Coturnix japonica: one gene and its partner. The protein of the gene in region 1 interacts with the protein of each later gene in a biochemical or structural test. Links are inferred from orthologs where the notes say so. Each region holds a gene or a part of one and is shown on either strand. Other genes may lie near its edges. The genes, in order: KPNA1 and PKM.

Region 1 (3,816 bases):
TAACAGTCACTTCTATTTGTGAAACCTGTACAACTTTTAGTGATGCAGGTGCAATTCTGTTATGTAATGTAAATTTAAGCATTTTAGTCAGTGTCTCTATGGCTCACAATTTATTAATTCTGGAAGTTGAACTGTGTGCATATGTGCACCGAAGTGACTTTGCAGATCTGTTGCTGTCAAGTTTTTATGCTTAGGTTAATGGGTGTGTTACTGTTAAATCATGTTATAGTAGTACTTCACAATGTAAATTGGAGTCTTCCTTTGATGAATTCATTGCCTTTTAGTAGAAAAGATAGATAAAGCAGTATAACAGAAAATAAGACTCAGAAAAATCAGCATGTCATTGGGTATTACTTTGGTGCAGTGGTTTTAGGAATTTTCCCCCAACAAATAAACGAATGCTTCTTAACTTTCCATTTTGTTTTAAATAGAACCAAATCCCCCAATAGATGAAGTCATAAGCACACCAGGCGTGGTGGCAAGATTTGTGGAGTTCCTCAAGCGGAAAGAAAACTGTACATTACAGGTATAAAAATATAAGTATATATCTCTTTCTGTATTATGAAGGCTTTTGGTGGTGCAAATAAGGCAGAAAATGTCATCAAATGTCATCACTTTTTTTTTTTGTGAGCTGTACTTTTCTTTATAAGAATAACACACCTATTTTACTGTGAAGGGTTCTTAATAATAAACTCAGTTGCTGGGCCTTTAATATGGCTGTGAGAGAATGAGAGAATATGGGTTTTATTGGGTGGTGTCTAACATGGGATGTTTACCTGGACTTCCTTGTATAACAAAAACAGTTTGAAAGATGGCCTTAAATGATGAAAAAAAGCTATTAAACTAAACTGTACTGTTTGTCTACTTTTATACTAACTGAAGACTGTTTTCAGTGTTCAGAATTATGACATAAAGTTTTGATTAAATTCTGAGTAGTTCAGAATTAGAGTTGAACATAAAAAACAAAAACAACAACAAAAAAAGAGAAGCCCTGAAGCTTGCTTGTTTTGGTTGGAAAAACTAAGTTGTATCTGCTACAGTTTTAGTCAATGTGTCTTGGACTTAATCCTTAGAACTGTGTCAGTCTTTCTTCTAGGCTAGTATAAAGTGGAAGGAAATTGATCTCATAATAAAAGAAAATGTTAATAATTAATGGCTAAATGTGATACATAGGCTAAATTGGTGTTTCTTCATTTGTTATTGGCTTGTGAAATCAAAAATTTAGTGCCTGGAAATATGCGAAAAGGACTTTTTCCTTGTCTTACGAAATAGAGAAAAGAGAGTTTATTGAAATTACTTTCCAAACTGAGGACAGTAGAATTGCAAAGATCTGATAGCTCCTTTTGAGAAGTACATGCACAGTAACTAAGAGCATGTATCAGATTTAGACAGTTTGTTGGTTCTGAACTCATTCTGAACACCTTCAACTCATTTAGGAAATACTGAAGTATTTTTTTGCCCAGGTATTACTTGTATGATGGATTGAATGTGGAAACTATTCTATGTTGGTAAACGTGAAACTGTGTGTCTTTATTCTGTAGGTTTCTACTGTGTTGTTAGTGGAATATCCAGTGAAAAATGAATTTCTAGTAGCAGTGGTAGGAAGGCTATATTTGTCTGGAATTCCCCTATATACATTTTTTTTCTTAAGTGATTTTCAGGTTTAAAAAAGTTGCACTCTTCCCTGTGATCATTTAAACTGTACAAGAATAACTAATTTTTTCTCATGTGATGATGAGAAAAATCTTCAAGAATGTATCAAACAAATACTAAGATGAGCCTTTTACTTTCTTTTTCTTTACCATTGTAATTGTATGATCGTAATTGTATGATTTAAAAAAGAAACTAAAAAAACTGATCTTGTGGCTGTATGGAATTTTTGCAAATTTTGAGTTCACGTAATCATAATTTTTAACTCTGACTCTTACTTTTCAGCTTCTGTTGTAATTAGCAGTCATGCTTTATCTTCACCAATTCTTCCTGTTTTTAGGACATATCATCACTGTTTTTGATCTGACACAAAAGGCTCCCAACGAATTTTCTTCTATATTTTGTTTTCCAGTTTGAAGCTGCCTGGGTGCTGACAAATATTGCCTCGGGGAATTCCCTTCAGACTCGAATAGTGATCCAAGCAGGAGCTGTTCCCATCTTCATAGAGCTGCTTAGTTCAGAGTTTGAAGATGTACAGGAGCAGGTAATATTAAGAATGGTGTTTGTTTTTTGTTTTTTGTTTTTTTGTTCTTTTTTTTTTTAAAAAACATGAAAGTACAAGACTCTTCTTTAAGAAAGTCTTGTGCCTTTAGAGGCAGTGTAGTGTCAGGCAGTTCAACATAATGTTTTTCCTCCCTAGTATGTGTTAAGGCGCAAATATTGTTTTTCAGTTGTTCTGGAAATGATTCGTTTAACCACAGCCAATGTGGTAGCGTTTTGATCTCTAGTGAGTTAACACTTTTCTGCTTGCTGAGGAATTCAAGAAACGTTGTTTAAAAAAATACTTCAGAGGTGGAAAGTTCACGTTTATTTCTCCTGAAGGTAAAACACGAATGGAAATTATAGGTTGTTCTCTAAAAATTAAGGAAAAGGAGGCAAAAGAGCAATCAAGCATGCTATAGGTCTGTTGGATGTTGAATGAAAAGGATAGTGAAGTAATGTTGCTTACTAAGCTGGTTTTTATTAATGATGAAATAAAAGAATGAATGCAGTCATTGTCCATAAGTTCTACTTGAATGCCTTTCTTACAGAGCAGATTAATATTCTTCAAGGCACAGAGAGGTCCGTATAAAGTGCAGACCAAACATTAGATTCATACAGACTCAGTAATTTCTGCTCGAGGGCAGTAACTTGTGTTTGAACAAGGTTGTATTTTAAAAAGATGTCTAGTCTTGATTTGAAGACTTAGGATGGTGAAATACCAATCGTGCTAATGAACACATCTTGAGTAATGCGTAACCCTAACTTGAACGTGTGTACCTCTACTATACAAATTTGATTAGCTTTGGGCCTGCTTATTAGCTTTTGTTTCACTGTCTACTCAGTAAGCTCTCTGCTTTTTCTTATATTTAATTACAGATGATAGCTTAATCTTTTCTTGAGCAAATGAGATTAAACTTTGAATTCTTACTATGGATATTTCTTTAGCTTTTAAAATTTTCTTGACGATCCTTTTCTGAACGCTTCTTTGTTTCATATGGTGGTGAAATAACAAGCTCTGAGTATTCCAAGTAGTACTGTTCCAGCAGTGCTGTTTGCAGAGGTAGTACCCAAAGCTCATTTCTACTTGGTTCTTCCTTGCGTGAATATTCAAGATGTCTTTGAGGACTCTTTTCCACACAAGTTTGCTGTGAGCTCAAGTTAAGCTGATTATCCAATATGATTCGTTGTTCTTTTCAGAGTCACTGACTTCCAGGGCTCAGTTCTCCATCCTGTAAGTGTGCCCTCTATTCTCTCTCCTAGATGTCTGACCTTGCATTTGGCTGTATTGAGATGCATGATTGGAGGAGTCCAACTGATAAGCACTGAATTGCTTTATGTAACTTGCCTTTCTATCTTATAGCTGGCACGGAATGAGCCACTCGTACTTAAGACTGTGTAACTTTTTCTGCAAGAAAGACACATTTCTTCAAGTTCCTTGTAGCTTTCCACTTTGCAACTTTCCATTTTCAGTGGCTTCTCTCATGCTGAATAATTTTTACCAAGGTTTTTTAAGAGAGTTTGGGTGCCTTAGAAAATTGTTTTCGAGGATACAAGTATTTTTGTAGTTCTTTTAATTTGAGGAAATGAGTCTATTTTTGAAGAAATTAGAAATGTGGTGTTGAT
Region 2 (3,816 bases), on another chromosome or scaffold:
GCTGTTCTGGGGATGCTTTTGTCTCATGGAGGCAAACATGGGATTTCTTACTCCCAGAAACATCCAGTCTTATGCCCTGTGGAGGCTTCGTACAGATGCAGGGGCTGTGGGAGACTGCTGCTGTTTATTTGGAGGAGGACATTCAAGGATTCTTTTGTCTTATTTGCATCGTCTGCCCCGGTGTTGTGTTCAATCAACTCAAGTCTGATTATCTGTGCGGGCTTAAAGGCTGGGTTAAGCCTAGGTGCACTTGGTGTGCTGAGGTGTGTCCCCGTGTGCAGCACAACTGCAGTCACACCAGCTGCCTTGATCCCTGGGCTGCTGGCAGAGATGGGCTGAGAGCGGGCAGGGAGCGGGCAGCACGCTGCCTGTGCACTGAAGCGCTTGAATTTTGTTGCGTTGTGTAGCTGCAGGGGAAGACTGGCAATGAAGAGAAGCTATGAAGGGAACTTCTGCATAGAAGGCAGGTGAGCTTTGGGTGGCATCCATGGGGAATGACATTTAAATAGAAGTGTGTCTTGCCTGTACCTAAGACTCTCAAGTAGGAACATAACGATAGTCTGACCCAGTAGCAGCTTTCTTGTTACCTCCATATTCATCACGTGGGTGTGTTGGTGTCTCTGCATGGTGAACGAGCAGGGGCGACCCTTAAACCCGGCACCATTTTCTTCTCTCGCAGACACCGAACATCAGTAACCATGTCAAAGCACCACGATGCAGGGACCGCTTTCATCCAGACCCAGCAGCTGCACGCTGCCATGGCAGACACCTTTCTGGAGCACATGTGCCGCCTGGACATCGACTCCGAGCCAACCATTGCCAGAAACACCGGCATCATCTGCACCATCGGTACGTGGCTCCCAGATCCCACATTGTAAGCTCAAGCTGTGTTTGCTTGTGTTGGTGAAACTCGTTGTGGGAATGTGGGATGGCTTCAGCCTTTATCCGTTGCGAGGGCTGTGCCTGTCTGTTGAGACTTGACTTTCCCATGCCTGCCTGCCCAGTTTTATTGCTTGGATTAAATTCAGTGATGTCTGAACTGGTTGGGTTCAAACGAGCTCCTAGAGTCAAGTTAAGACAAAGGAGCTGCTTTCATGTTGAGCAGTCTGTATCCACTGTGCTTCACTTATGCCTCCACGTGAAACAGCCTGATGTTTGTGGGTTGTCTCATTATCATATTATTAAGTTAATATTCAAACTGTTTCCTCCTTTCAGGCCCAGCCTCCCGCTCTGTGGATAAGCTGAAGGAAATGATTAAATCTGGAATGAACGTTGCCCGCCTCAACTTCTCGCATGGCACCCACGAGGTAAGGGTGGGGATGGGGCTGACACTGCCCTGAACTTGTGACTGCTGATCCCTTCCTTCCTTCCTGCAAGAGGAGACCAAGGGAAATCCAGCTTACTCCAGAGCAGCTGTGGTAGTGTAGGAAGACAAAACTTTATGCTTGTGGGAAGTGTGCCAGCTGTAAATACCAAGAGTGCTGATAACATTTCAGTGCTTTCTGGAAGCAGTTGTTTCCACACCCTTCTGTGCACCTACCTCTACCTGGGAGCCAGATAGCTGATGTGCGAGTTCCTTCACTTCTTCCCCACCCTCATGGGGAAGTGAACTCACATTTGCTTTACAAGGCTGCTGCTTCTGAGTTACTTGTGCACCTCTGCAGCAGTACACAACTATCAGTTGTCACCCTGCTTCACTGCTGGAGGTTTTAGAAACAGTCAGTGAATAACCTTGTCTCAAAAGATATTTGTAGTAATTAGTGTGTGCATTTGAAAGAATTGAGCTTCTGGATTTGCCTGGCTAGCCAGCTGCTCAGGTTATGTTCCTGGTAGTCATGAGGAAAGCAGTTCCTCGCTTATGAGGGGCAATAAACTTCTAAGAGTAAGGTCAGAAGAAATCAACACTGCTTCTGGTGGACGAGCCCTTTTTGATATAAATAGATGAAATCCTCAGCAACGCTACAGGAGCAGATGATCCTGTTCCGGGTTGCCCAGAATGCCACCCTCAGCATTGAGAAGAGTTCTTATGCTGGCTGCCCTCCAGCCTTTAAAATGTCAAACTGTAACCAAATGACAGTTGTCTGTGGCTTTAATTAGTGAACTGTGAGCCCTGAGGTGTGTAACAGCTTGACCTCTCGCCCTCACGGCCTTTAAAGGCCACAGGGCACTGCAGAAACCAAAAGGTCTGGTGTTTAGCTGTGCGCAGCCGTTGGACCATAGCTGTATTAGCCTGTAGTAGCAGCAGTGTGCACGCTGTAGCTAACCAAAATTCAATGTAAAGGGCTGTATGGGCTGACTTCACCCCTCAGGTCATGTGCTGCTACCAGTCGGGAGGCTCAGCAAGGAGTTGGTGGTCAAGCCTGAGCCTTCTTAGCTGTCATAGCACAGTGCTGTGGTTGGTGTGCTTGTTAGCTGAGGTGAAGGAACAGGGTATGTGGCTTAGCCTGGGGAGAAGTGCAGCCCAATTGCATGTTTGGTTTAGATGGAGGTTAGGTGACAGTGGTTGGTCTTGCTGCAATCTCCTGCCCAGTTTATCTGTCAGCTCTAACCAGGCAAATCTGAGTTCTTTTCTGGATCCTCAAGCACTCTGTTGTCCACTACAGTTGCCTGAGGTTTTCACGTGCTGTGCACGTTTCAGTTCCAGTGTTTATTCTAAAACACCTAGCAGGGCTTGAGTTAGCAACTAACCAGATGCTAGACCTTGAAGCTCTCTCATGGAGGAAGTCTGCTTTTACTTCAGCCCTTGTCAGCATTCCTGTTGAGTGTAATTCTCAAGGAAGTCAGAGTCCCTAGGAGCTGGTCATTGATCTGTATCAAGTAATAAAATGTCCCAGGTGACTGAGAGCAGACAAGCCCCAGACTCTGCTCAGACATGTTTCCTCTCAGTCACAGCTGTGGTGTGTGGAAGGACCAGGTTCCTCCTCAGACTCCACTTGTGCTTTTAATAGCAAACTTAATTTTTTGTGCTCTTAAGAGTTAACTGCAGTGTGTTTGTGGCTGAGGGTGTGCACACCAACCTGAGCACAGCTTGCTGCAGCTGCATCTTCCTGATCCCAAGGCAGGTGATGTGAGGGCAGCCAGGTGATTCAGGCTGCATGCTGTCAGCCCATGCCATGGGGAGGGGAAAGGGCATTTCTTATCTTCCGGAGTCTGCCAAGTATTGCATAACTCTGTCAGGCTTATCTCTAGTGTTGTTTAAACTAGATAGCAACCTGACTTGATGATCGTCTGAAGCTTGTTTGAGATGATTGGGATGGGAATTTCCCTGTGAAACTGTTCTGACATTGGCAGTACTAACAAAATGCTCTTGTGCACGTGGAAGGGTTTTGGAGCGTGGTGTTCAGTGACAGAGCTTTGAACTCCTGGCTGTGGTTGCTTTAGCTCTCAAAATAAGATGCAAATATATAAAGGGTTAATATCCTCTGAGTTAATCCCTTGTTGCAGCGGAGATTTCAGCCAGAGTTGTGAGTGTCCACCCATATGCCAGACAGCAGAGTCCTTGGTTCAGTTGTGTCTGTGGGACTGATAGTGGGGGTCAAAAGGCAGTGGGGCACCTTCACTTTCACACTCTGAGGGGAAGAGGACAGCAGCTACGTACAACTGTCACTTAGCTGTGATGTTTTCTTGGTGTGTCAGTCCTCCAGCGAATGTTATATCATGCTTTGAGTAGTATTTGGGTTATGTAGCATGAGCATTGGAGTAGAAGTCAGCGAAAGTTTCCCTTTCTTTTCCTTTCCAGTATCATGAGGGCACAATTAAGAATGTGCGAGAGGCTACAGAGAGCTTTGCCTCTGACCCCATCACCTACAGACCTGT

The links.
Region 2: the proteins of KPNA1 (region 1) and PKM form a complex in vitro, tested with the Homo sapiens proteins (2 studies listed by BioGRID). The link is inferred for Coturnix japonica from reciprocal best matches to the Homo sapiens genes KPNA1 and PKM.

The regions. Positions count from the first base shown.
Region 1 is NC_029516.1:69,210,975-69,214,790, reverse strand, and holds part of KPNA1 (importin subunit alpha-5), read left to right. Parts: intron 1-431; coding exon 432-526; intron 527-2,062; coding exon 2,063-2,194; intron 2,195-3,816. UniProt on the Homo sapiens protein: Functions in nuclear protein import as an adapter protein for nuclear receptor KPNB1. Binds specifically and directly to substrates containing either a simple or bipartite NLS motif.
Region 2 is NC_029525.1:978,461-982,276, reverse strand, and holds part of PKM (pyruvate kinase PKM), read left to right. Parts: intron 1-407; 5' UTR 408-426; coding exon 427-467; intron 468-679; coding exon 680-849; intron 850-1,215; coding exon 1,216-1,307; intron 1,308-3,739; coding exon 3,740-3,816. UniProt on the Homo sapiens protein: Catalyzes the final rate-limiting step of glycolysis by mediating the transfer of a phosphoryl group from phosphoenolpyruvate (PEP) to ADP, generating ATP.